Solanum lycopersicum: one gene and its partners. Each later gene encodes a partner of the first gene's protein in a complex. Links are inferred from orthologs where the notes say so. Each region holds a gene or a part of one and is shown in the gene's direction. Other genes may lie near its edges.

Region 1 (3,388 bases):
AATTAAGTAAAGAAGGCATGACTTTATTACCTGAATTTAGTGCGGTTAAAATTGAGACGAGATGATTTGAGATGAAGCTTAGTTCCAGTGATTGAACTTCCAGCTAGGCCCTTGATGTTGGTAGTTGGCTGCACTGCAGCAAGGGTTGCCAAAGATGCCATGGCTTTTCACTTCAACAAACTAAACAGAAACTACTACTTTCAGACTTCAAATTTTGGGCTGGCAATTGGCACAAATGTCGATACGTTTCGGTTTTTGATCTTTTTGGGTGGATCCAAACAGGACATATGGCAAATTGGGTATCTTTCTAGATATTAAAATTCCACTAGTATGGGGACACGTGTCGTAGACTGGATAAGCCTATCCTTTGTGGTTTTTTAAAAAAACGTTCAGTAGGTTATTATACCATTAAATAGATATTAATATGATAGTATTTGATTGAATATGAAATTTAAATTAAAAAAATACGGAATTTAAAACAATTTAAGCATTAGAAAGTTATATATATTCGTGTTTTCCTATTGTTGAAATATGTCTCGGATAAAAGCATGCTACAATTGAATACTTAAAAAAATTACTATCAATAAAATTTCACTCGATATCTTAAGACGTGGACAATGATTTCAGATTGTTAAGACTTGATTATTCCCCAATAGAGATAAGATTTGTTTTTACCTTTTACAAATCCTACTTATAAAATTTATTTATTTATTATTATTTATATAAAATAATTTTAAAATTTAAATGTCCTTTCTTCGCTTTAGTATAATTTTTCTTATACGAAAGAAATTCAACAAGTTGGGTAGAGACTACTGGCTGGAGTCTTGTTGAATACTCAGTAAGATCACCTAGAGGATCGACTCACATGCTCTCTACATCAATATGCTTATAAACATCTTAAACCATGAAAATTCAGTAGTTCAAATATAACAAAAAAAAGAAAAGGAAATCTTATACTATGAAAATTCAATAGTTCAAATGTAATAAAATAAAAGAATATCTTATAAGAAGGGAATTCAACTGCATCTCTGGATTGGTCTTTTTAATAATTGTACTCATCATCTCAATTTACGTGATACTATTTAATCAGAAATAAAAATTTAAGAAATTAAATTTTTTTTATTATATTTATTAAATTGTATTCCTTAAAGTTATGTACTAAGTTTCAGTTGACTTTCCTTCAAAATAATATGTTAAGTGAAACCCAACAAAAATAAAATGGAAATGATGTCATTAAATAGTTGTTAAAATAAGAAAAGAAAATATATCTCATAGAGGGGGTAAGCATGAGATATTCATAATATGTGAGGATGCAAGTGTTTGATCTTATAATATAGAGGATGTATTTGAAATTGAATCATACTGTAGGGGTATCAAATGTAATTAACCTAACATTTTAAAGGCAATTAAAAAAAAAAATCAAGAAAAAGGGTATATATCTATATCCTTCCTCTTTCCCTCATCTCTTTTGTGTTATCCTCACACAATGTCTGTAACTTCTCCTCTTCTCTCTCAATTCAAATCCCTCACCATTTCCACCCCTTTTCTCCATGGCTCCTCTTCTCTTTCTCGTCTCTCCACACCCTCATCCTCTATCACTTCCCAAAAACCTTCTCCACCTGCTTTCCTGCCTCCAATTCGAGCCATGAGATCAATGCAAGGCAGAGTCGTCTGCTCCACAAACGACAAAACCGTTTCTGTGGAAGTTACTCGTCTTGCTCCTCACCCAAAGTACAAACGTAGGGTTAGGAAGAAGAAGAAGTACCAAGCTCATGACCCATTGAACCAATTTCAAGTTGGGGATTATGTTCAGCTTGAAAAGAGTAGGCCCATTAGTAAGACCAAGACCTTCGTTGCTATACCTGTACCACCGAGGAACCAGACCAAGGTTAAGGAGGAAGAGAATCAGGAACTTGGGCTTCCGCTTGAATCTCTGCAGACGAGTTAGAGTGAGAGCTTTCTTTTGTACTGTTCAGTTTCTTTTTGTTTGTCTGTTGGTTTCTGTTATGTTTTCATGATAATCATGTATTTTTAATTGACTGATTTTTAGATGATAATGAGTTTATTACTAGATTTCAATGGTGATTGTTGCTTTTGTAGTTGTTGCTAATTTTATCCTCTTTTATCTGTGAACCTCGAATTCTACTTTATTAGACCTGACCCGGAATTAAACTATATTATTTATACATGGTTAAAATAAGTTTATATGTATATATATATATGGTAGATGTCGAACCCCTTCGACTACCTATTTCTACGGATTTTGAACCTCCTCAATGAAATCATGGCTCTGTCTCTGATTATTGAACCATATCGTAGTGAGTTATTAATGTAGCTGAAGTGTTCTTTGTGGATTTCAAATTTCAGAGATTCAAAGACAAAAACTTTGAATTAGCTTCCCTTGGGAAACTTAGAATTTTGCTTCTTCATTTTACAGGCAGTGTATTGGAGTTCTAACTAAATAGTTGAATGTGTGCATAATTCTTGCGATTCATGTGGATTAGTGAACAAGATCAATTGAGGAAATTAGTGACTTTTTGATGGTGCAAGAATATCAGAACTTGATGGTCATGTACTGGTCCAGTTTTAGGTATAACAGAAGTTCAACTTCGATTAGTCAGCTTGCAATGTCATTTTCTGCTTCTGTATTGATTGGGATTTGGGACTATAAAAATGTACAAATGAATTGCTTGACCAACGTTGTTAACACATATCATGCCACTAAGAGATAATATTAGTGATAATTATCTGAAAATGTGTCTTCTGAAGGTTGCTTTGTCCTTTTGATTTTTCCCTGGCTGCAAGAATGAACCATATGAAACCTAAGATGTATAATCCATGATAACATTTTCATATTTTCTTCTTGTAATTGGAAAATATTATTCATAGATTGGGTGGTTGCCTTTATCTTGGCGGAGAGACTGGCATTGAGACAGTGTCTTTGTTTTGCCAAGAAATTTGTATTAATGGTATGCTATGTGTTTTACTTGAGTATAATTATCTTCGGAACATTAATTTTCCAGCTCTTGGATAGAAGGTTAGTCTATGATCATAAGAGACAATATGCTCTAGGCAACAATTTATCATAATGATTGATTTATGTAGATTAGGATATTTTGATCAAGTTTTTGCTCTAGCGCAGTCAAGAAGCTTTGCTACTTTAGCTAGATCTTTTATCAGATTCATATGCGTAAATGCTGTTCATCTTTGCACCCGTGAGAGATAATTTTTTTCCTCTTTTCACCGTCAATGCCTTAGCAACAAGCAAAGAGGAAGCTGCATCAATGGGCATATCATCATTTGACTCTCATATTTTGAACCTGGATAAGGGGATGCATCATACACACTATCTGCATATATCATTTAAGAGGCAACAAACATTCGATGA
Region 2 (3,444 bases), on another chromosome or scaffold:
GTTTAGTCGTAACAGAGAAAAATTGTTCAAGAAATGCATCAAACTAAGGAGAAAAATGGTGAGATTCCCTTATGCTTCTGGTAATTTTAACTACAGAGTGGAGAAGAAGTTCCTCAAGACGTCGATTTAAATCACATATTTGAATAAATACTAACGTGAATGATCGATCTATTGTGTTTTTTTTCTGTAGGGAAATGGCTATATTATTTGTTCTTGATTTTCTGTGTCTAGATTGAGTAGAGTGATTTGCATGGGAGCTGTTCACCACCACCAACAACAACATCTACGGTTCAGTACCAAACAAGTTGAGGTCGACTATATGAATCTGTACTGTCATAGTTCGAGGTCAATTTTGTGGTCGATAATAAGTGAATTGAGTTCTCAAATTTTTGTAGAGTAGGGTATTTCATCTTTTGACTGACTTGTTATTAATATATTTTTGTATTTTTGAGTGAGTTTGGTAAAAAAAAAATTATAATCAATTGGGAATGTCTTGTATGATTAATCATTGTGTTACTTCCTACATTGTATATCAACGTACATTTTTTTCTTTTTTCTTGTCTTTTAAGAAATATTAAAAATATTTATTTTTTTACTAATTTACTGTTATAATTATTTTTCATAAATTCTATTTTTTGTGTCTTTATCTGTTAATAACAAAAGAGGAACTTTACAATATTTATATTTTTAATCAAAAAGAGTCGATTTAAGGTGCAAAATGGAAAAAAATAGAATTAATTTTTTAATTTGACAAGTAATTTTGAATAAATATCTTTGTTAATGTAGACAAGTAGTCTGTCATAGAGGTGTACTATTATCTCATTACTTCTCTTAATTATTATATATGTTAAAATTTCTTTATGTATGTGATGAAATCTAACTATATTTATACTCCCTCCGTCTCATTTTGCAATTTATTTGTCTATTTTCACACATAAAAAAAGATAATTTTTTTTCTTATTATATTCTTATTTAAGCTTCCTGAAAATTTTTAAGTTTTAATTCATCTTTTTCGAAATCATAATTAATAAGGGCAAAATTGTAACTTCACTATTCTAATTATTGCTATATTAATATGTTTGTCATTTCTAAAATGGACAACTAAATAGGAACAGATAGAGTTTGAGATAACACTATTATTCCTTATTTCTCGTTCCAAACAATCCTTTTCAGGTCTCAGTTTATTGCTTGATATACTTTTACATAAAAAATAATTGATCTTCTGATAACTTGAATTCACAATTTTAAAGTTTAAAATGAATGGTATTTACCATCCAAGTAACTCTTAACGTTTTTTTTTTTAAAAAAAAAAAACAAGGAAAAATAAGTGAATTTTACCTTAATTCAGGGGTATTTGAATAAAAAAAAGACAAAGGGCACATTATCTAGAAACAGAATAAGAAGCTATAGAACCACCACAAATAAAATCTCAATTCTATCAGTTGAGCTGCTGCAATGGCGTCGTTGTTAGTTGGTTCAGTTCCTATGAGTACTGTTCAATCCATGGCTTCTCTTTCTCCTAATTTATCATTCTCTCGTTCTCACTCCGTCGCCGGCAGCGTTTCAATTACGGCGGCATCTCCTTCACCATCAATTTCGTTTTCGTCTCTCACTGATTCAAATCTCCCATTGGGTACGAATCACATACCTTTTCGAATTTATTGTTTGTGAAAATTTTGTGATGATTGAAGTTTCAGTTCGAGAAATTGAAATTTTGATTTGATTTCATTTTCAGTTTACTGCGGTAGAGGTGATAAGAAGACGGCGAAAGGCAAGCGGTTCAATCACTCCTTTGGCAATGTGAGTTTGTATATTTTGGTTTATTGCAGGATAAGACCTCCTTAATATGATTTAGTTTCAGATACACCCCTGTATATTTTATAAACAAACACTTACCTCCTCTATATTAGGAGAATCCTACACTAACATTCTAGTTTGATACGTGGAATAAGAATAATAATCTCGAAATAGAATTTGAGATTAAATTTATTGCATATTTGAGTTAAAGGTATTGGCTTAAAATAACGAGTGTATCGAAGATGAATAAATAATTCCATGAGATATTTAATGTATTTATGCCTTTAAATTTTAGAAAAGAGAAGTATGTGTTTTGTTGAAATTGATAAATAAGATATCAACACAAATTACTTAATATGAATAATTTTTTAACTCATATTTGATTAAATGAATGTTAATTCCATATAAAATGATTTATAGATTCACTTGGAATAAGATTATTGGTGCATAAGGTTTTGCATAATTAATGCAGGAGTTTAATGCTTTTAATATTATAGAATTTTATACTGAGATTCAATTGTTCATACATTTAGACGAATTGACCCCTAAAAAGTTTTGAAGTTTATTTTTGATTGCAACCTAGATGCATCTCGACTAATTTTATCAATAGATGGGATAAATTACCTAGTGTTATTTTGTCTCTGATAGAATTTGAACCTGAAACCTCATGATTCTCGACCCTCTTCGTTAACCACCAATGTTGATGATAGATTCAAAATAGTCTGTTAAATATGCTCTAACCAATTTTTAGTACTTTGAAGTTTAGAGTGTTATCATCATACGTTTAACAATTTATGTTCGTTAGATTTGACAGAAATAGTGAAAAAACAACAGTTGTTTCGACATTTTTTGTTGTTATTTTGAACTGATTCCGATGGTATGAATTGGTTTAGGCAAGGCCAAGGAACAAGAAGAAGGGAAGAGGACCACCTAGGGTTGCAGCACCACCAGCAGCACCAAAGAGAGATCCATTTGATGATGGCCAAGTCGTTAAAATTGAAATACATGACCCATAGTTTTCTCGGAGGAGCAATTTCATTTTTATGTAGCTCTAATCTTCTACTACTTTGTTTATTTCATTGAAATATCGATTAAGTTAATCATTTGGACTGAGATTTCTAGTTTGCTTGAAGGGTCTTCGTTTAAATGCTCTTGTGTCCTGTTAAATTATGCATTTTGGTTCTAGCAACCTTCAGTAGACAAGTGGTAATAGTCACTACTTTAGCTATTGAGAAAAGTGAAAAGCTTAGAGAACCCCACATTCCTTATGGGTTGAAAACCACGAGGTTTTAGGTTCATATACTAGCGGAGACAAACACATTAGGAGGTCTTTTTGTAGAGTGTATAAGAATAGTAATATATAGTGTATTACTAATGCTGGGATTAGTTATGTTGGAGCTATTTCCTACCCACTATTTGGTTTGATATATTATCAAGGGCACTTTGGCCTCGAACAAAGAAAGGATCAAAAAATGTCATAGCTAATACATCCTACCAAATGACCCCTAGGTGGTTCTTATTTAGACCTTCGTGGATAGAATTACTCCATATCTGTGCTGGTTGGAGGTAACCTTTACCTCGAAGAATTAGTCAAGATGTGAGTGAGCAAATCCAGTCACAAAAAAACTTCTTTTGTTTGGGTCACCA
Region 3 (4,132 bases), about 59 Mb from region 1:
TATTAAATTCATTAAGAATACAACAAAATACAATACAGCAGAGCCAGAATTTTCAGTAAGTGGATTCAAAATACTAATTAGCAGAAGAGGTCGAAGAGGGTTTGACATCTACTATATGTAACTAAAAACTATTTTAACCATGTATAAATAATATAATTTTCCGCCGAACGAGGTTGGGATGAACCTAACTATAAGGTGGCTCTGCCATTGAATACGATACATTATGTGACAATACATAACAATTATTCAAACAAAGTGGAAGACTTCAAAGGATTATTGAACATTTTATCTACAAGTGTATTGTCTCTATGAAGTAGAGAGACCAGCAACAGAATCTAATGGTATATCTCTAAATCTGAACCAATCAATAACATGAAAACTGAATTGGACAACTTACCTGGTGATTGATGTCTCTAACGAAGAAGAAGAAACTCCAATTAGAAGGATATTGAATGAGAAGGAAAAATGAAAAAAATTGAAGTGAATTTAAAGCCAAAAAAGAAAGGGTTATTGAAGATTTACGTGTTTCACGGGTTGACCCGTTTTAAAGGACTGTTTGGTGTGGCTGCTTGTTAGAGTCGCGCTGGCTTTCACGGTTTTCTTTTGGGTTAGTTTACTCCAAAACTACACTTTTTGACCATTTTGTATTTGGCCTCCTCTTTTCTTTTTTTTCCTCTTTATTCGATTCGAGTTAATTATTCTAACATATTTTATGTTATTGCGATTCATAGATGATATTGATATACATTATAATATTATGATATATTGATTTATTTTACGAGTTTTGATCACTTTATCAAAAAAGAAAGACTTCATTTTAAAGGGAGTGAAGGGTATTTAAAAGTGGAGTCGTAAATATTCTAGGTCCCTTCTTAGCCGCTGAATCACTATAATTTCTGGTTTCGTTAAACCTTTTACCATCCATTGTATCACAATCATCTTAAGGATAGAGAACCAAGTTTATTTTTTTCTTTGAATAAAATGTCCAGACATAGAATAATCATTTGAGTAAGCATTGTTGTTACAATATAATCTCATTGTTAGAAATATATCCTATCTAAAATTATCCAAAAATTGTACTCCAATCCACAAATAACATATAATTCAGAAATTTTAGGCTATTGTTGCAATTATATCGGCCTAAATTAGCCTGAAATTAGTCCAAATAATTAAACAATAACCTAAAGTATAGTCCCAACACTAAAGTTTGCTAAGTTAATTTTTGGTGGATATTCGATAGTTTATAAAGTTTAGTATCATGATCCGTCACTTTTAAAGTCGAAATCCGTGATATTAGGCTATCATTTAAATAGATTTACCCAACCCCAAAAAATCCGGGTCGGGTTATATTGTGTCGGATCTTTTTTTCTTATCTAGACTTTGATGAAGAACACAACACAATGACAGAGAAGCTCTGAGTTTCCCCTTAGCTGTTGAAAATGATGTTATCAATGGCTACACAGCTTACTGTGAATTGGGTTCCTGCGTTTTCTTCTCAAAACCAATTTTTTTCACCCAAATTTGTCTTCTTTACAAAGGGGCAGTCTTTTTCTCGACGTTCTAATGTCTCAGCAATCGTACCCAGAAGAAATCTTGGGGGTTTTGCTACTTCAGCTGCGGCTGCCTTGAGTTTTGCTGAAGAAACATCGACCCGTGATTCTATTTCCTCAGATTCTCTTCAAAAAGAGGTAATTTTCACTCTCTGACTTCCCTCTTAGGTGTTGTTTGGTAGAGTGTGTATAAGTATCAGTAATGCTGCGATTATTTCCTATCCATTGTTTGGTTTCTGTTTGTTAACCAACCAACACCTGCACAACTGGCCCTTGTTTTCGGGGGCGAGCTTAGTGCACCAGGCTGTGGACAGTACATGGTCCAGAGGGAGCTTAGTGCATCGCGCTGCCCGTTATAATCCTTTAGTTTTTTGTTGAATTGTGGGAAGTGAACCATCCTCTTAATGTTAAAAGATTTTGCATCCAAGGGTGTGTCTTAATTGTCAATAGAACTAGAATGAAAAAGATTACAATGGAAGACCATGTAATAATCCACCAGAGGCACTATGAAGAATAATATGTAGTTTCTTCCGATTTGGGGATCGCCTGGAAATTGGAATACTAATTTTAAAAAAGAAAAGTTGTAAGCTTAGGAATAATGGGGCAGATTTATTTATAGGAAAAGGGCCAATTTTTCTCTTGAACTATTTGAAATAAGATTACTTTGTTGTCCGTTTCGGTTTTTGGCACAAAAATACCTTTGCCATTAGCTGGCTTGATAAATCACATTCTTACTATGCTATCATCTTTTAAGTTGATCAAAGTGTAAGTTTGTATTCAGTTATATCATAACATTCAATCTCTCCGTACTAGCGTAAAGTAGATATTCGAGTTAACTTTATACTATGGGAACGTTATTAGTATCTTTTTTCAGTTGACAGGAAAAAGGTCTTTCTCGTAAAAGATAGCATTAATTTGTGAAGATTTGCTATCAAGAACAAGTTCTTAATACCTAATCAATATTCATTAATGACCAAGCAAATAAATTTGTTTTCGTTAGGGATGATATATAAAATGTTAAACATGACCAGATGCCTCATTGGTTCCAAAATTTTGTGGGTGATATTGACTTTGTTTAAGGACTGGAGGATAACTTTGTCCCTTTTCCATCTGAGTGGGACAACCGTTAGTGAGTAGGGAAATTTTGAGCCACTTGGCTAACAGCGATGGCATTTTTGTTTCATAAAACGAAATGGAGGACATAATTGTCCTATTTCAAAAATTTAAAAAGCAAAATTGGTCTTTTATCTTTATTTTTATTATGTCTGAAAGGCTGCAACAGATCTCCACGGGTTTGATTAGTTTTCTTTTCCGATTCTTTTTTCTTGAACCAAGTTGATGGATGACGGTTCAAACCAGTGCATCTGTCGTTTTAATACGATGTTGGGTGAATGTCTCATTTAGTTGTTTAACCTGTTAAAAAAAATTGTTTTTATTTATTTTGTTATGTATGCAACACGTCTCCTCGGCTCTGTTTCTTTCTTGGACCAAATTGATGGCTGGTTCTTCGTACCAATGCATCTGTGTACTTTAATACTATGCTGCGTGAATGTCTCAAGACATTTATAAGTTCAATGGTTAGAGACGAACTGCTTTGATTTACATAGTTATGTCTGCAATATCTTTATTTTGGTGTTTGATTCTCATTTTATTTAGTTTTTTAAGAATTTCATAATATTTGCACCATTTTCATTATGGTGTTTGGCTCTTACAATCTGCTGGATGTACAGAAGCTCGGTGTGTTGGTCAAGCCACTGGAGAAACCTAGGCTAGTGTTGAAGTTTATTTGGATGGAGAAGAACATCGGAATTTCACTAGACCAGGTAATTCCTGGTCATGGCACGATTCCGTTGAGCCCCTACTATTTTTGGCCTAGAAAAGATGCTTGGGAGGAACTTAAAGTCATGCTCGAGAGTAAACCATGGATATCCCAGAAACAGGCAATTATTCTTCTTAATCAGGCCACGGATATCATCAATTTGTGGCAACAGAGTGGTGGTGATTTAGCCTAAGCCTTCATAGAACAAGATTTGTCATGCTGCCACTGTTCATCATTTATCTTTAGCAATCATGCCTGTTATGTTGTAACTTTTTTCACTTGAAAGGTCAGTCAAAACTTATTCAATTTGTTTGTTTAGATTTTCCTCTTGTTTCCTTTAGTTTTTGGATCATATTGTAAACTATATATCTTAAAATGTTAGCCTTGGTTCTTCATGAATATTAACATCTAACAGAAACAAAATTAAATTGTACTGATGGTAGGAATTTATCTATGTTGAGTATCGCACGTCGTGGGGATAGTACGCTCATTTGGTCTCTTTATATAGTCTTGGCTAATCCTTCTCCATTTGCTAGGTCCAAGATTCATTTCTCATCAAAGGTATCTAATCCAGACCCATCGCAATTCATCGTTTTCGATGTTGGCCCCATCATATATTGTTAAAGTGTCCCTCATTGGTTGGGATAGGGTCATTTGGTATCCTTATATGGTCTTGGACTATCCCTTTAATGAGTTAAGTTTTGGGGTTGAATTAGGCTAGTGATTTATATTTCTTACCATATAGCTTGGGGTTGAACAACGA
Region 4 (4,070 bases), on another chromosome or scaffold:
AGTTGATAGATAGACGTAATACTACAATCCCATTTTTGTGTAGCCAAAATATTTGTGCCAGTTGAGAATAGTTGATCCTCTAACAACATGCCTGCATTCTTTTTCTCTTTGGTAATAATTAAGAATGTCAATGTTTGTGGGAGCAGCTGGTTGATTCAGTATGTATTATTCTCTGAATTTCAAGACATTAAGATTGCATCATATGATTCATAAGATTTACTTATATGGAATATTGACCACTATGGTTTTCTTTTCTACCGGTAAGAGTGCAATACATGGTGTGTGGGTTACGTGCATGTGAGGTTCCGAAAGCCTGCTTGATATTTAAGTGGAGAAGAGTATGAGTAGATGGGTAGAATACCTGGTGTGTGGGTTACGTGCACGTGAGGGTTCCAAGTTATTGCGGATGGAAGCCTACTTGATATTTAAGTGGAGAAGAGTATGAGTATGAGTAGATGGGTAGAATACATGGTGTGTGGGTTACGTGCATGTGAGGGTTTCAAGTTATTGCGGATGCAGCCTACTTGATATTTAAGTGGAGAAGAGTACGAGTAAATGGGTAGAATACATGGTGTGTGGGTTACGTGCATGTGAGGGTTCTAAGTTTTTGCGGATGAAAGCCTACTTGATATTTAAGTGGAGAAGAGTATGAGTAGATGGGTTGATTCATTATTTATCGAGTTTTTAATTGTCGTCATTTGAAGTATGAGGTTGTCCTTTCTCCTACTCAGAGAGACAATTCACTAGCGTTTTGGTGATAAAGAGTTTGAAATTTTAACTTCAAATATCTGCTTAGCCGTGAAATTTGATTAGATTTATTTTATCTTCAAATATTTCTCACGTTCCTAAAATTGATTAAGACTAGTTTTTAGGACATACTCACAAAACTTCAAATTTTCAATTTGATGAATAGCTATTTATGTCAATTTTTCCAAAATAACACAAGAATATTTTTCTTTCGGAGATAGCGATACTTTGAAGTTTGATTATCAAAAACATAATACGTAAATAAACACTTAAATTTATAAGTAAGCAGTTCAATTTTTGAGTATGTACATCTAGACACTTAATAATTGAATACTCCAACTCAAGTCACATAAATATTTATTTATGTATTATGTCAATTATCAAACATAACAAAAAAAAATTAGAAATCAAATATAAATATCTATTTATGTATTATATCAATTATCAAACGTAACAAAAAAAAAATTAGAAAATTAATTCAAATGTTGTCCAAATACTAGGTAAATATTTGGGCCTAAGAAGCAATAAAAAAAGGGAAAATACATAATAAGGATAAGCCTTGTACAGAAAATTGTATAGTTATTTCTCTTCTTCGGATAAGCTTTAAAACACAGAAAAATTGAAGAAGCTCCTAAGGAGGAGAGCTCCAATCTCCATTAGAGACCAAATTCGAACTTTAGTGAATACCCAAATGGCGATTTCATCGTCTTCACTCTCAGCAGCTCTTTTTCCAATGTGTAATTCATCTTCCATTTCTGCACAACCCAAGTTTTCTCTTCTGTCTTTGCATTCAAATTCTGTTAAGTTACAAGTTTTCAACCAATCTCGAGTGTCTACAACTAAGGTTTTTGCTTCTCCTGAAGTTTTGGATGCCCAGAATGTTGAAGCTGATGTTGAGGTTTGTTAATTATTTGGGCTATTTTCAGTAGACTATACTGTGTGGTTAACATTAAAAAAAATGCTTTTTTTTTGCTGAATTATTGTTGGGTATTCGTCTTTCTACTGAATTGTTGCTGGGTATTCCTCATTTTACTGTATTGTTGCTGGGTATTCGTCTTTTTACTGAATTGTTGCTGGGTATTCGTCTTTTACTGAATTGTTGCTGGTTGTTCCTCATTTTGCTGAATCGATGTTGAGTATTTGTCATTTTGCTTTATTTATAGGATATTCTAGCTGCTTCAACGCTGAGTATTGGTGGTGACTCTGACAAGGTAAACTTTTTCTCTTCCAGTCCTTTAATTTTTTAATTACTAACTGTGGTGTCTGGACCAACTTGCCCGCACTTGGTACCTCTGGGAAGCACTGGTATCAGGTAACTCTGTCTACCGACAAAGGCGAATGTAGCCTCATAGAGCCAACTACTATGATGTTGAGTATAAATATAAAGTTTGTAGAGGTTCACTGAGACTACAACAATTAGTAGGTCTTAATCCATAACTTTTAAAATATTGTAGATTCGATGCTAAAACCCATAGAGTTCAAATTCTGAATCCACCTATATATACCAAGGTTTGAATAGATGGAAAAAATCAACTAGTGCATTTGCCTATCCTAAATTAGTTGAGTTTGCGTATAAGGAATCTTGTGTACACATTCACCATTATTGAGGTGGGGTGGAGATGGTTCAGTGAAAGTAGACTATTTTAGTGAATCTATCTCAATCTGTAACCTTTATTCGCTTGGGACACCGCTGTGCTTTTTGTGAAGTTCATATAGGCAGTGTTTTTAGGGGGTGATGTTTGATGACTCGTGATTCCTTCTGAGATTTCTGCATTGCTTTATGTTATGTGCATTTTGTTTCTATCTAAGAGAATGTAGTCAAGATTTTGCCAATGTATTATGACTAAGATGTTTCCATTTAAACCGTTTATCTCTCATGTAGAAGTTTACACACTAGACAAGTCTTAGGAATCAACCATTTACTGTTTATACAGTATTGGTGTTTGTAACTGATCACTCAAGCTTATTTTTGTTTGTGTTGGTGTGAACACATCTTTTTTTTTGAATTTTATGCTGCAGCCTTAATTGAGATGGATACTTCTTTTTTGTTGGTAACAGTTATGAAATAGGATAGAGCTGTATGTTTGTCCATAGTCTTAATGAAATATTTGTTGTTTGTTTTCTTCTTTGGCTAGTGACTTTAAAATGTATTAGAATGATAACATTCTTTTGCTTGGTGCTGACAAAAGCTAGCCTCATGGCTGGAGGAGAACATGGGGACATGAAAAAAAGAATAGTTGTGACATGCAGATTATCACATCAGAAAACTACTCTATCTATACCACTTAGTGAAGCAACCCTAAAATTCACTTGCAGTGAATTGGAATTTTCTTATAGGGAAATTTGCAATGATGATATAATCTGCTCAACAGCCAGGCAACTTTTGATAAATGAGCGTACAAAGTTCTTCACTGTTAGATTCCTCAAATTGGTGATTGTGGAACCAATTGGTCTTCCTCAGTTACTGAAAGTCTTAAGTAACCTGGAGCTTTAGTAGTGAATTGATTATCTCTTAGCCGTCTCCTCTAAGTAATTGTGTGCGCTGAATAATTTTCTTCTAAGAATTTTTATTGATGCATCAAGAAGCAAAAGTACAGAAATTTGTCTAATGGATAAAGCATGCACGAGCTACATCTAATGCTTTTCGGACCTTTCACTACTGTGTTGGGATGCTTCATTATTATAGTAACAAGGTCATTAATATTACTCCTAGTGTACAATCCTCTTCAAGGATAAATTTGAGTTGTATTTCTCTCTGGCTACTAAGTAACATTGATCGGAAAATATTATTGGTTGAAATGTTCACTTCTATCAAGACTACTTTCATAAAGGTTTGATTAAAGCGATTTTTTGGTTCACTTATTTGCTTGATAGTAATTGTGTTCAGCTATGAATTCTAAAAGAAAATCTTTGAATCATTTCTAGAAGTCCATGTAAGCTGAAAAAATATTAGAATTATAGTGAAACTGGAAGGTGGTGGGTTGCACAGGAGTATGCTGTTTTTAATGAAACTGGAAAGGTCATTGCAGATTCCGCCTTTAACTCTCACTTAGTTATGAATTTTACGAACAGGCTTCCCTCAGTTTATAAGTTTTATCTGTGGGAGTCCCTGCAAAAATATTATTTCAAAGTTAGGATGGACTTGGAAAAGTTATTGTTCGATATGCAAGAGGTGTAAGCACCATGAGGTGTGAAGTGATCTCGGGCTTCTCCTTCCAGCTCTTGGATACTTATTCAGTACGAGTTAAATCTATGAACTTCGCTGAGAAGCGTCCAGTGGCTGTTCTAATTCAGCATTAAGCTCATCGTGGCTGTGTAGTATC
Region 5 (4,089 bases), on another chromosome or scaffold:
GTGAACCAATTCTTGTGATGAAAGGGAGTCTTGTAGTTAAGATTGTAATGATAATGAGTAAAGCCCGTGTCTTTAACTTTAACCTTTCATTGTTAGAAAAACCTGTACCTTTGTTATGTAGTTTCATATATCGACTGCCAGTTTCTAAGCTTGTTAAAGATGTGCCAGCCTAGAACTTGTATACCCCCTTCACAGAATAGCTAAGTGGACGGAAATGCTAAATATTTGATCTTCAGTGTGACAAGTTCGAATCATAATGGCCTCTTGGCTACTCTTGCTCAGTTTTTTCGCTCTTTTACTTCTACCTATTAACCATGTGTAGGAGAAAGAACCCGTTTTTTGTAGATACTGATGTAAGACCTATTACTAGTATAGATATAGATAGTAGTTCTGAATACTGAATGCTTCTAGGAGAGTGATGAGGGGTCAAAAGAGACTGGATTTTGATCTTTCTAGCAACAAAAAACAGCATACCCAGTGTGATCCCATCAGGTTTGGGGAGGGTGATGTGTATGCATGCCTTGTGAAGGATACACCTTGCTGCTCATGTAAATTCTTCTAACCCAGTAAACTATTACCCTGTTTTGGGTGTTGGGCTCATGTCATAACTCATAAGCCAATATCTTTGTTTTGTGGATATATACTTAATATATACACCTGCTTCCACTTCTATTGCAAACTTCCAATTATCCTTTTTATCTTCTATTTTCATAAATGGAAGATCCAATTGATATATTCAATTAGTCATTCGTCAAGTACATTGCCAACAACATAATCATGTACAAGATCACAATTCTCGATTCAACAAACATAACTCGAACAATGCAATTTGATTTAACATATAGAAAGTGCTATGTTTTTGTTATGCTAAATACATTACAATAGATTCTTTGTTCATTAGGAGATCTTCACCAAATTATTTATTCAAAACTTTGCTTACTTCTACCTCCTTATACTATAGTTAAGAGGGAACACAAACTGCCAATAAATAAATAAATATGGCCTCTTATAGTCACTTTAACTTGGTTAATTTTGATTTTGATCCTTATAATATCGAACTAAACACATTTAATCTTGAATTGATTAATTCTTTTAAAGAGGATTAAAGTATTTTTAGACGAATATTACCGTAAAACATGAAATACCAATACAATTTCATATTATATGAAAATTAAGTGATAGAACAATTAACCATCACTTTCAATTAATTAAAAATAAATCAAATTTAATCCATGACTTAAATTTTGCAAGAAAAAAATAAAAAGAAAGGAGTAAAGTAGCATTTACAAGTCTTGAGGGTATCTAAACAAAAAAAAAGCAATAAATTTCACTTGTACAATTTTACCAACTCAGAACTGAAAATTGTGAATTTCCTCTTTCTTATCCACTTTATCTCCCTCAAGAATGGCGTCTTCTTCTTCTTCTCCATCAGTACTTCCATCTCTTACCTCCACTCTCTCTTCTTCTAAACCTTCAATACCCTTCAACTTCAAAGGTTTCACCAAAAGGGTCAACAATTCTGGGCAAATCTTGAAAGCCCAAACTCTAGAATTTTCGGGCTCGTTTTTCGAGGGTGGATTTGGAGGAGGAAATGCTGATGAACCACCGACTACACCATGGTCGGGTATTTCTGCAGTTGAAGATAAAGAGGAACCGCAGTGTCCACCTGGGTTACGCCCTTATGAAACAATGGTGGTATTGAGACCTGATATGTCTGAAGATGAAAGACTTGCTCTTACCCAGAAATACGAAGAGGTAACAATGATTGTTTTTGTTTTTGGAAACTGATATAACTTGCAAGGTGCTAAGCTCAATTTGGGTGGATTCTAAGTTTTCAATTGCTGATTTGACTGTTTGAGCATTAGAGTTGAAGTTGAGAGTTCTAAAGATTGAATTTTTGAAACTAATATACTGTTTCTTTCCATTTTGTTTGGCGCATTTTGCTTATTTAGGGTCAATTTGATTGACTTTTGGAGATAAATTGAACTAGACTAATTCCTTTTGTATGAGAAAGTATTATAATTCTCTTAGTATCCCGAGTGTTCTCCGGAAACAGCCTCTTTACCTCCAATATATAGGTGTATGGTCTGCGTATACTCTACCCACAGACCCCTCTTGTGATGTTTCACTGTTTTTTTGTTGTTGTTATTGTAATTTTCTTAGTATCTATGCTGAAGGCAAAGAATAAATTTTTAATATGTTTGTCATAGTTCATGAATGAGAAGTGAAGGTTGCCACACATTAGGACTGAAGGAGTAAGTATTTTTATCAGAAGTTGAGCTGCATATAGTATCATTTGATACTCTTCAGCTGATTTCATTGTGAACTGGGAAATGAAGATAATTATACTCATTTGAAACAGGGAGATCATTTAGGAAACAGAACAAGTGATTGATATTTGGTTTGACATGATGAGAATTTCTTCCATTCCCCTCTCTTGGCTAAAAAAACTGTTTTTTTTCTTTCTTTGTCTGCTAAGAGGCGGAAACCTGAAAGCAAAAGCAATATCGACCTTGCAATTTATTTAAGCACAAGATTGTCCAAGAATATTCTTCCTTTTTGTTTTTTTGTCTACTCACTAGAAGGCCATTCTTTGGAAAAATCAGATATTTGAACCTAACAACAGTCAACAGTGTTTGGGTGCATAATTCAACATTTTGTTATAATTTAAGCTGACATGGACATGATCTAAGTAAGAAGAAAGTTAGTCTCAGCTTCTGCTACAATTTTCATTCTTCTTGTTCCCATGTAAGAGCTTTCATTTTTAATCTTGTTCTTTTTCTCTATCTGCTTTTCGAGTCCAAAAGCCTTGGTCTGATGACTATTATCACCTTATCATTCTTCTTTGTGAACATGGATGATCATTGTATTTTTGTTTGCCCATCTCATTTTTGATGTTATAGTCGACGTCTATAAGAAAAATAGGCTTGCAAAGCTGCGGAGGACAATAATAGAAGTACTTAAAGTTGATGAAACTCTATTTTCTACATGACCCGTTTACTACTGTATTTCCGTTTCTTACTGATTGTTGTTTTGTTTCACTTGAGCCGAGGGTCTATTTGGAATAGCTCTATACCTTTACTAGGTAGGGGCAAGGCTGCGTACCCACCAACATCCCCATATCCCGCATGTGGGATTGCACTGAGTATGAAAGGACTTAAAGTTGATTAAACTATCTGTCATCTTTCACCTACAAATGATTGGGGAAACTTTCACTTAGTTAAATCCCTGATAAGCTTGAAGAGAGAAAAAAGTTAAGCATCAGCACACGTGTCTTTGTTCTATGTTTGTTCCAACATTTACTGCGTTTCAGCTTTTGCCTAACAGGTCAATCAAATAGACACACTTGTAAGTGCCAATGTTTCCCATGTTTTGTGTTTCTCTTTGTCAGATACTCCGTCTAACCAACCAAAGAAACTCTCTTCAACATGGTATCGGATCAGGCTCTCATTGCCACACATTATCAAAAAAGGATTTACACAAGTCCACACGTGAAGGGAAATATTAAAATTATACTTGACCATCTCATCTAAAAGTACATAATAGACTTATAGTAACTCTGTTATGGATTGAACAGTTCTAACTAATATTGTCTCCGATCAATTTCAGTTGTACATGCTATTTGACGATGCAAGTTATAATCTTTTGTTTTTCTTTCTCTTGGGCAGTTGCTGGTTGCTGGTGGTGGTATGTATGTGGAAGTCTTCAACCGAGGGGTTATTCCACTTGCATACAGCATTAGGAGGAAAAACAAAGCTGGAGAGACAAATACGTACTTGGACGGTATCTACCTCCTGTTCACTTATTTTACTAAACCTGAATCCATTGTAGCTCTTGAGGCAACATTGGTAGCTGATGATGATGTTATCCGGTCGTCCACTTTCAAGATTAGGAAAAGAAAATACTAGTTTGGTTGGTTAGTTTAATTTGTGTATCTGTTCAGTTGTAAAAGACGATAACAGAGAGCAGGCAAGTTTTCCTCATCGCGCCTTTCAGATGTTTAAGTCATGACAGTCCTTTTCACAGCAAAACAGTATCAATTTGTAACATTCTTTTATATTACTGAAAGTTGCCATTACATTCTGCTCA
Region 6 (3,585 bases), on another chromosome or scaffold:
CTTCTGATCAGTCTATTTATTAACTCAACTCATTTTGACTCATTTAAATTCAATTCAACTCATTCATTTGACGTTGTTCTTATCATCATTCTGTAGAACTTACATTTACGACTTGACAACACATCCTTATCACATAGTACCCTAGTACGAACCTTCATTTTATCCAGTCCATTTCAATTATGCAATGTACGATATCATCATCAATCTCCGTTCTTCCGGGATACGACACCTCTAGCCCAATATTAGCTCTTAGGAAAAATAAAACCAAGCGTCACATTGATCATAAAAATATACTTTTTTGTGTATGTAAAGGGCAAATTATAAGTATGAATTGAATTAGTGGTTTCTTCAAATTTGCAACTCATTTTGATCACTTCATAATTAATATGACTAATATTAATATTATTATTTTTTTATTATATGATTTTGTCAATATCATAAAATTCAGCTCAAGTAATGTTTTTTCTTCATAAACTTGAATGAGTAGTACGCATGGACATATATATCAAAAGTCGTCTCTTTTACTAATTATGTAGAAAATGACATTGAAAGAAAAATATTTATGATATATGAACTTCATTTTCAATTTTTTTTCAGATCTTATTAAAAAGATGGCTTTTTATTAATACCAATAAGAAAGAATGTAGCTCTAGGACATTCTTAATATGCCCCTCTTTTGTTAATATTAGAGATTTAATTTCACGAATAGTCAAAGAGGCATACATATATCACACTCATCCACATGTTCAAGGCGCAACATCTATCTCAAAAAATGATTTTCTAAAAATAATAATGATAGACGTGTTAAAAAAGTAATGTGAAGTCATTGTCGAGAGAGTTGCTGACTAATGACCTAAAAAAGTACGTAACATTTGAGAAGCACGAACAATCTTCACCCATGAGATACATTCTACTTTTTTTTGAATAATCAGATAATATTGATCAATTTGATTAGGGATGACAAAATTAATCTATAAAAATCTGATACTCATAAGTTTTGTCTACTAAGAATTGTAAACTTGATAAAAGTTGAACATATTAGACTACGACAAAATACTAACCCATCTTATCTCAAATTTATAATCTTCAAACAAATCGATACCACTCGTTTATCAACACAACTTTAACTCTCAAAAAATTGTTCAATCCGCTCGTTTGACATCCCGAATCAACTCAACGTTGCTAAATATACAAAATTAGTAAAGCTATGATAACTAATGATCATATTTCTTTTGGGCCCAAATCCCATAACATGACCAAAGTCCTCACCCATAGGCCTCTTAGCCCAATTTAAACAACTTTCATTTTTTTTCTTCTATTACCTTATCCATTCTATCATTATCTCAAATTCTCTATACACACTCTTTTTAAGGCCACAATTTTCCCACTTCACTTTTTTTCATCACTAGACAAATATTTTTTTTATCTACACAAAAAATGTTATCAATGTCTGTTCAATCTAGCTTGAAAGGCAATTTGAGTATCCCTTCTTTACCTTCACAAAATCCAGGTTATAAATCCTTCAAATCATGTTCTTCATTATCTTTTAACAACAAAGGTTTATCAACAAGAAGAATTCATAAGATTTTTGCTTCAGCAGTTGCAGAAGCAGAATCAGTTGAAGTTGAGACTTCAGAGTCTGTTGTTCAAGAAATTGAGGTAAAAAATCAGCTCTTTAATTTTCAATTAGGTAACTTTTTTCGATAACTTAGTGTCTAGATTAGTTTTTGCGCTACTCAATTAATTTCATGAATGGTAGTGTTACTTCTCACTAGTAAAATTGAGTAATCTTTGTCTGATTTTGACTTGATACGTAATTTAAGAATGTAAATACTCCCTCAATCCATCTTTACTTGGTCATTATATTAAAAATAGTCGTCTAACAATACTTGTCCAATTTGAAAAACATGAAAACCCTTGATATTGAATACTACTATTCAATATATAATACATTTTCCAAAGCATCAAATTTATATTCAAAGGATAATATAGTAATATTTTAGAATCATTTGATATATACGACAAATCTAGAATTTTTAAGTCTTTGAATTCACTTTTACTATGATTATTTAACACGTACTGTGTTGTTCGACTTTTCTAAATATGAAATGGTAGTCCAACAACTTCTTAATGAAAATGAGTAATAACTAGCAAATTTATGAATGTTTTAATTAATAAAAAAAAGGCATAATTGGGGAAATATATTGATCATTTAGCTAAAAACAGAACAAAAATGGAGTTAAATTATAGCATTACCTATAAATATAAGTTATGTTTCGACAAAAACTAGATATATCAATTCGTACCCTCGAGCCCTAAAATTTTAGTGATGATGAATTCAACCTCTAGATCAAACATTTGTGTCATATACTTGCACCCGTACCAAAACAACATAATGTATGTACATATTGACCCAAAAATAACAGATTCAGTTGAACACTTGAACACATTTAACTCATCCTAGCTAGATACGCCTATGACAAAATCCAATCTCTGACTTCCACCCGTGTCAAATACTCAAACTCGTATTGAAACGTCTACATTATTAAAGATGAAAATAAGAAGTTCAGTTGAATGCACATAATTCATTCCAGATACGTACGACTATATAAATAATAAGCCCAAAAAAGGATAGGATATTATGTTTTGATATCTTATAGTGAATTCTTGGATATATTTTTTTCAGAAAGTTGATATGAAGAAAAAGGTAATTGAGAAGCCAAGGCTAGTGCTAAAATTCATATGGATGGAGAAAAATATTGGACTTGGCCTTGATCAAGTTTTACCAGACCATGGAAGTGTACCATTAAGTCCATATTTTTTTTGGCCTAGAAAAGATGCATGGGAAGAGTTGAAAACAACACTAGAGAGTAAGCCATGGATATCACAAAAGCAAATGATTATTTTGCTTAATCAAGCTACTGATATTATCAATTTGTGGCAGCAGAGTGGTGGAAATTTGACCTAATTGTTGTTTTTGGTATTTATTTGTAGACAAATTGTTTCAACTTTCTGTTTTTGTTTTATCTTATTTTTAACTGTACTATAGTTGATGGAGAATACAATTGGAATCATTTTTGTTTCATTTTTTAAATTGTTTAATGTGTTCTGACTGGACGATAAGATAATCAAAATTTGTGAATAATTTAATAAGATAGGTGAAATGAAGATAGTATCAACAAGTTTTATACGCACAAAATTGAAACCATGGCCGATTTTGTTTTCTTTTAATTCAATATATTTTTTAGCGATTGTTCATCTTCCACCGCCCGTTATATTTGGACTTTATTATGAACTAAAAGCCCGTAAAGTCTCTCTAGTTGGGTTGGTTCATCCTAACAAGGCCCATGGGCTCTATGGCAACTCTCACTTGAAACTTGCGATGGAAGAATCCTCTTTTCGTAATTAGTGGCTATACTAAGGGTAAGTTCCCGCGATGTTCAACTACGACATCGTATAAAGGCCTTCGTGCCCAATGTTTCCTGTGAATTCGAAGTACAGAAATTTTGACAGAAGTTTTTTTTCCCGCGCTCTGTGAATTCTCCAATCCATGGCTCCTAAAGCAGATAACACTGAAGGTAACTT
Region 7 (3,637 bases), on another chromosome or scaffold:
TGACGTTCCTAACAAAATTTTCTTGATACCTAGGGCTTGAACTTGCAATTAATTAGAGCCCCGACAAATTCTGATCGCGGCGCATTGTGGACTCATTCAAGAGTGGCACTCCCAGCAAAACTTTCCTCATACCTAAGATTTTAAACGTGAAACATCTGATTAAGGGTGACACAATTTCATCATTACGCCACAATTTATATTTAAAAATAAATTAAATTTAATGATTTAATAAAGTAGAAATACATGTTAATTAATCATAAATTAAAATTATTGTGTATGTTTCAATACATATACATATTATGCATTTATTTATTTGCGATAAACATCTAATATGGATAAATTTTAATTTTTTCAATGGGTGGCAATTAAGTTGCTATTTATAATGCCGCATAAACAGTTATTAGTTATTGCTAGCAAATTCGTAGGATTTTGCAATTGGAAGGTGTTTTATTTTTAGGAATTTATAAAGTAAATTACTCACAACTCATAAGAATCGTTTGAAGTACCCATTAAGATGTAATTTATAGGATTAGTAAGTCATGAAATTTATTAGTTATAATCTTATAATATTAAAATTACTAAATTAATGGAGTATTAAAATTTATAAAATTCTTTACTTTAAAAATAGGTTCTCTCTAATTTTCTCTAAAATATTCTTCTTGTTCTTGCTTTATTATTTTATAACCACTTCTAATCTTATGTTGTTTATAAGAATTTTTTATTGTTGCCCATGAGAGATCTTTATTTTTATGCCTACAAAATTTTAAAAGATCAATTTTCTTTTTATTCAATTGGTAAGTGATCATGTAAATTTATTTTCAACTCGCATTTCTATCGCCCCAAATTTAGGTTAGGCCTTAGATAAAAAGAGCGATATCAGAAATGAAATGTAGAGATTTCTTTGTAAAGCTAATATTTTCTTCATTTCAATTAGATGTAATACGAAGGCTACAATTACATGTTACAACCAAAACATAATATGAAATTTCAGATGTAAAATAGAAGTAATGTGACGTGTAAAATGTGTAGAGTACTGATATAATGTCTAGTTATGTTAAATTATTAATAATATTTATAAAGTGCATAGTAATAAATTACTATCGTCTTAATGAGTTATCGATTCATCCAATAACCAAATACTAAAAATTGATACCTAATCAAAAACCCTTTATAGATCCGTTAAAAATCCATTAACTCAATAATTCAATAACCCAATAACATTTTTTTAATAGGTTTATTGATCGATTCGATTTTTCCACATCCTTATTGGGAGGTGACAGTATGATAGACATCGGTGAATTTAGTCGAGTGCATGAAAACTAGCCCGAATACCATATTAATAAAATAAAATTTAAAAAAAAAAAAAAAAGAACAACCGGGGCTCCATATTAGCAAACCAGGTCGAAAAGAAGAACTCCATTCCCTATCCAATTTTCCCCAATAGGATAAGAAAAATAGACCAGCAAAAGGCTCTATCTTCTTCCTTCTTCAATTTCTTCATCAATCAAGATTTTCAACAATGGCGCAAACACTAGCAACTCCTGTACTTCCTTCTCTTTCCCTTATCTGCAACACATCTTCCATCTCCAAGCACAGTTCCCTCTCTTTTTCTACTCCCACATCTTTTCCAAAGGTACACTTCACTCCCTTCTCTTGAAATTTGCAGTAATCAAACATGGAGTTTGCTGAAGTTTACATTTTTTGACCTTTTTCGTGTAGGAATTGGAATGGGGTTTGTCTTTTTTTTTCTCGCAATTTTCTCAGTAACCAAACATGGGTTTTGCTAAAGATTACTTTTTTTTTTACCTGAGTAGGAATTGGAATGAGTTTTTGGATTTTTCGAAATTTTCTCAGTAACCCAACATGAGTTTTTTTTGCTAAAGTTTCCGTTTTTTTGAGGTGGGATTGAATTGAGGTTTGCTTATTTTTCATATTTTTGGACTTTTTTGAGTTGGAATTAAATTGGGTTTTGCTAAATTTTCCATGATTTTGAGTTTGAACTGAAATGAGTTTTGTGTAGACTGCAGGTTTGGTTATAAAGTGTGTGCGTGTGGGAGGAGTGGAAGTTCCAAACAACAAAAGAGTTGAGTTCTCTTTGCAATACATTCATGGAATTGGCCGCACCACTGCACGCCAGATTCTGGTAGACCTTCAAATGGAGAACAAAGTGATGAAAGACATGTCGGAAGAGGAACTTATCACTCTTCGTGAAGAAGTCTCTAAGTACATGATTGAAGGAGACCTTGTGAGTTTCATTGCTCTAATTTGTACTCATTTGTTTTCGTTCCAATGTGCATATCCTTATTGAAACTTATATGCTTAGGTAATTTGATTTCGATATCTAGTTCATGTAACTTTGCTGTGGTTGCTGTTTATTTTAGCTCTATAGTTTAACTTAATGCCATTTGGGGTTCTAAGAAATTTAATTCATTTTGTCTCAAGATAGGAATTGAACCAAAAAAACAATATCTTAAACCAATCTTTGGTCCAACTTTTACATGGAAAGAACCATATTTGAGCTGAAACTGCATTCTACATATCTTGAGATTAAAACCAGAAGATCGAAAAATCTTCTTTACTTTCTTAAACTTTGTGTCAAGTCAAATCCGGACAAACAAATCGAAACAAGGGGAGTTATTGTTAGGTGGGTATGTAGGATCATGGCTTCTATATGCATCACAGCCTTATCCCAAATTAAACAGTTCTTATGGAAATGTATTTCAGAAGAAATCGATAGCTTGTTTAGCAATTGGCAATGTTGATTGAGATTCTTGTGTATAAGGTTGTTTGTTTGATTGATGCTTCGGCTTCCTATTTGAAACGGGAAAATTGATTACATACTTGTGGTGTTGGCATCAGAGGAGATTCAATGCTCTTGCCATTAGGAGGTTGAAGGAGATTCAGTGCTATAGAGGAGTAAGGCACATCCAAGGATTGCCTTGCAGAGGACAACGAACAAAGAACAATTGCCGTACTTTGAAGGGCAAGAAAGTAGCAATTGCAGGGAAGAAGAAGGCACCTCGTTAAATCAAGATCGATTTTTCATTTCTTTTGGTAACTAACTTGTAAAAGTTACACTCTATATTCCTATGGCAAACTGTGCATTTGTTTGTTATAAACAGTTTTTTCCATTGAAATCATTTTTCTACATTTCAAGATAAGAGCTTTTCAAGAAGAATGTTGATGCTTAGGCATAATCTCTTCCTTAAATCTTGTTAAATGTGTTTCATGTGGAGTAATTGCGAATTTACGTTATTCTGATTGGATGATTTGGTTGACAGGAGAAAGGTTTGTTAAGTTACGTTAGGTGTCATAATAATTGTTGATGTAACGACCTATGAAGTGCAGTCCCTATCTATGAGCCTTGGTTTAAGCTTCAAGTTCAGTAATGTGTTTGGGCCAAGTATTTGCATTAATGTGATACCAAAGTTTTACAATTTGAGTCATAGCATTGTTAATGTAATGACTCGTTAGGTCATTTTGAGAATTAACTAAAAGCATAGAGTTTGTGGCACCTTTTTGTCACATGCATGAGCATGAAAGTTAAGTCCCACCCCTTTAGTACTCAAGAAGGTTCACTTTTCTCAGGTTTCTTGAAGACCATGACTTCTGTTTTTCAATAGTGATGATGTTCAGA

The links.
Region 2: small ribosomal subunit protein uS17c (region 1) and small ribosomal subunit protein bTHXc share a complex: the UniProt entries of both Arabidopsis thaliana proteins name them as parts of the 30S ribosomal subunit. The link is inferred for Solanum lycopersicum from reciprocal best matches to the Arabidopsis thaliana genes RPS17 and PSRP4.
Region 3: small ribosomal subunit protein uS17c (region 1) and small ribosomal subunit protein cS23-like share a complex: the UniProt entries of both Arabidopsis thaliana proteins name them as parts of the 30S ribosomal subunit. The link is inferred for Solanum lycopersicum from reciprocal best matches to the Arabidopsis thaliana genes RPS17 and PSRP3/2.
Region 4: small ribosomal subunit protein uS17c (region 1) and small ribosomal subunit protein uS10c share a complex: the UniProt entries of both Arabidopsis thaliana proteins name them as parts of the 30S ribosomal subunit. The link is inferred for Solanum lycopersicum from reciprocal best matches to the Arabidopsis thaliana genes RPS17 and AT3G13120.
Region 5: small ribosomal subunit protein uS17c (region 1) and small ribosomal subunit protein bS6c alpha share a complex: the UniProt entries of both Arabidopsis thaliana proteins name them as parts of the 30S ribosomal subunit. The link is inferred for Solanum lycopersicum from reciprocal best matches to the Arabidopsis thaliana genes RPS17 and AT1G64510.
Region 6: small ribosomal subunit protein uS17c (region 1) and small ribosomal subunit protein cS23 share a complex: the UniProt entries of both Arabidopsis thaliana proteins name them as parts of the 30S ribosomal subunit. The link is inferred for Solanum lycopersicum from reciprocal best matches to the Arabidopsis thaliana genes RPS17 and PSRP3/1.
Region 7: small ribosomal subunit protein uS17c (region 1) and 30S ribosomal protein S13 share a complex: the UniProt entries of both Arabidopsis thaliana proteins name them as parts of the 30S ribosomal subunit. The link is inferred for Solanum lycopersicum from reciprocal best matches to the Arabidopsis thaliana genes RPS17 and EMB3137.

Annotation. Positions count from the first base shown.
Region 1 is NC_090802.1:65,817,206-65,820,593, reverse strand, and holds small ribosomal subunit protein uS17c, read left to right. Parts: upstream 1-1,434; 5' UTR 1,435-1,486; coding exon 1,487-1,948; 3' UTR 1,949-1,949; intron 1,950-2,437; 3' UTR 2,438-2,888; downstream 2,889-3,388. Other genes in the region: photosystem I reaction center subunit VI-1, chloroplastic, read right to left, coding at 31-161. UniProt on the Arabidopsis thaliana protein: One of the primary rRNA binding proteins, it binds specifically to the 5'-end of 16S ribosomal RNA. Required for optimal plastid performance in terms of photosynthesis and growth. Required for the translation of plastid mRNAs.
Region 2 is NC_090804.1:66,172,126-66,175,569, forward strand, and holds small ribosomal subunit protein bTHXc, read left to right. Parts: upstream 1-1,232; 5' UTR 1,233-1,455; coding exon 1,456-1,633; intron 1,634-1,735; coding exon 1,736-1,800; intron 1,801-2,690; coding exon 2,691-2,813; 3' UTR 2,814-2,944; downstream 2,945-3,444. Other genes in the region: uncharacterized protein, read left to right, coding at 1-6.
Region 3 is NC_090802.1:7,166,393-7,170,524, forward strand, and holds small ribosomal subunit protein cS23-like, read left to right. Parts: upstream 1-1,332; 5' UTR 1,333-1,439; coding exon 1,440-1,688; intron 1,689-3,280; coding exon 3,281-3,562; 3' UTR 3,563-3,768; downstream 3,769-4,132. UniProt on the Arabidopsis thaliana protein: Component of the chloroplast ribosome (chloro-ribosome), a dedicated translation machinery responsible for the synthesis of chloroplast genome-encoded proteins, including proteins of the transcription and translation machinery and components of the photosynthetic apparatus.
Region 4 is NC_090809.1:1,050,955-1,055,024, forward strand, and holds the start of small ribosomal subunit protein uS10c, read left to right. Parts: upstream 1-1,270; 5' UTR 1,271-1,438; coding exon 1,439-1,645; intron 1,646-1,910; coding exon 1,911-1,958; intron 1,959-4,070.
Region 5 is NC_090807.1:67,612,550-67,616,638, reverse strand, and holds the start of small ribosomal subunit protein bS6c alpha, read left to right. Parts: upstream 1-1,289; 5' UTR 1,290-1,404; coding exon 1,405-1,755; intron 1,756-3,668; coding exon 3,669-3,908; 3' UTR 3,909-4,089. UniProt on the Arabidopsis thaliana protein: Binds together with bS18 to 16S ribosomal RNA.
Region 6 is NC_090804.1:4,043,275-4,046,859, reverse strand, and holds small ribosomal subunit protein cS23, read left to right. Parts: upstream 1-1,350; 5' UTR 1,351-1,437; coding exon 1,438-1,659; intron 1,660-2,686; coding exon 2,687-2,968; 3' UTR 2,969-3,085; downstream 3,086-3,585. Other genes in the region: homologous-pairing protein 2 homolog, read left to right, coding at 3,551-3,578. UniProt on the Arabidopsis thaliana protein: Component of the chloroplast ribosome (chloro-ribosome), a dedicated translation machinery responsible for the synthesis of chloroplast genome-encoded proteins, including proteins of the transcription and translation machinery and components of the photosynthetic apparatus.
Region 7 is NC_090804.1:939,434-943,070, forward strand, and holds 30S ribosomal protein S13, read left to right. Parts: upstream 1-1,440; 5' UTR 1,441-1,519; coding exon 1,520-1,633; intron 1,634-2,020; coding exon 2,021-2,245; intron 2,246-2,859; coding exon 2,860-3,027; 3' UTR 3,028-3,137; downstream 3,138-3,637. UniProt on the Arabidopsis thaliana protein: Located at the top of the head of the 30S subunit, it contacts several helices of the 16S rRNA.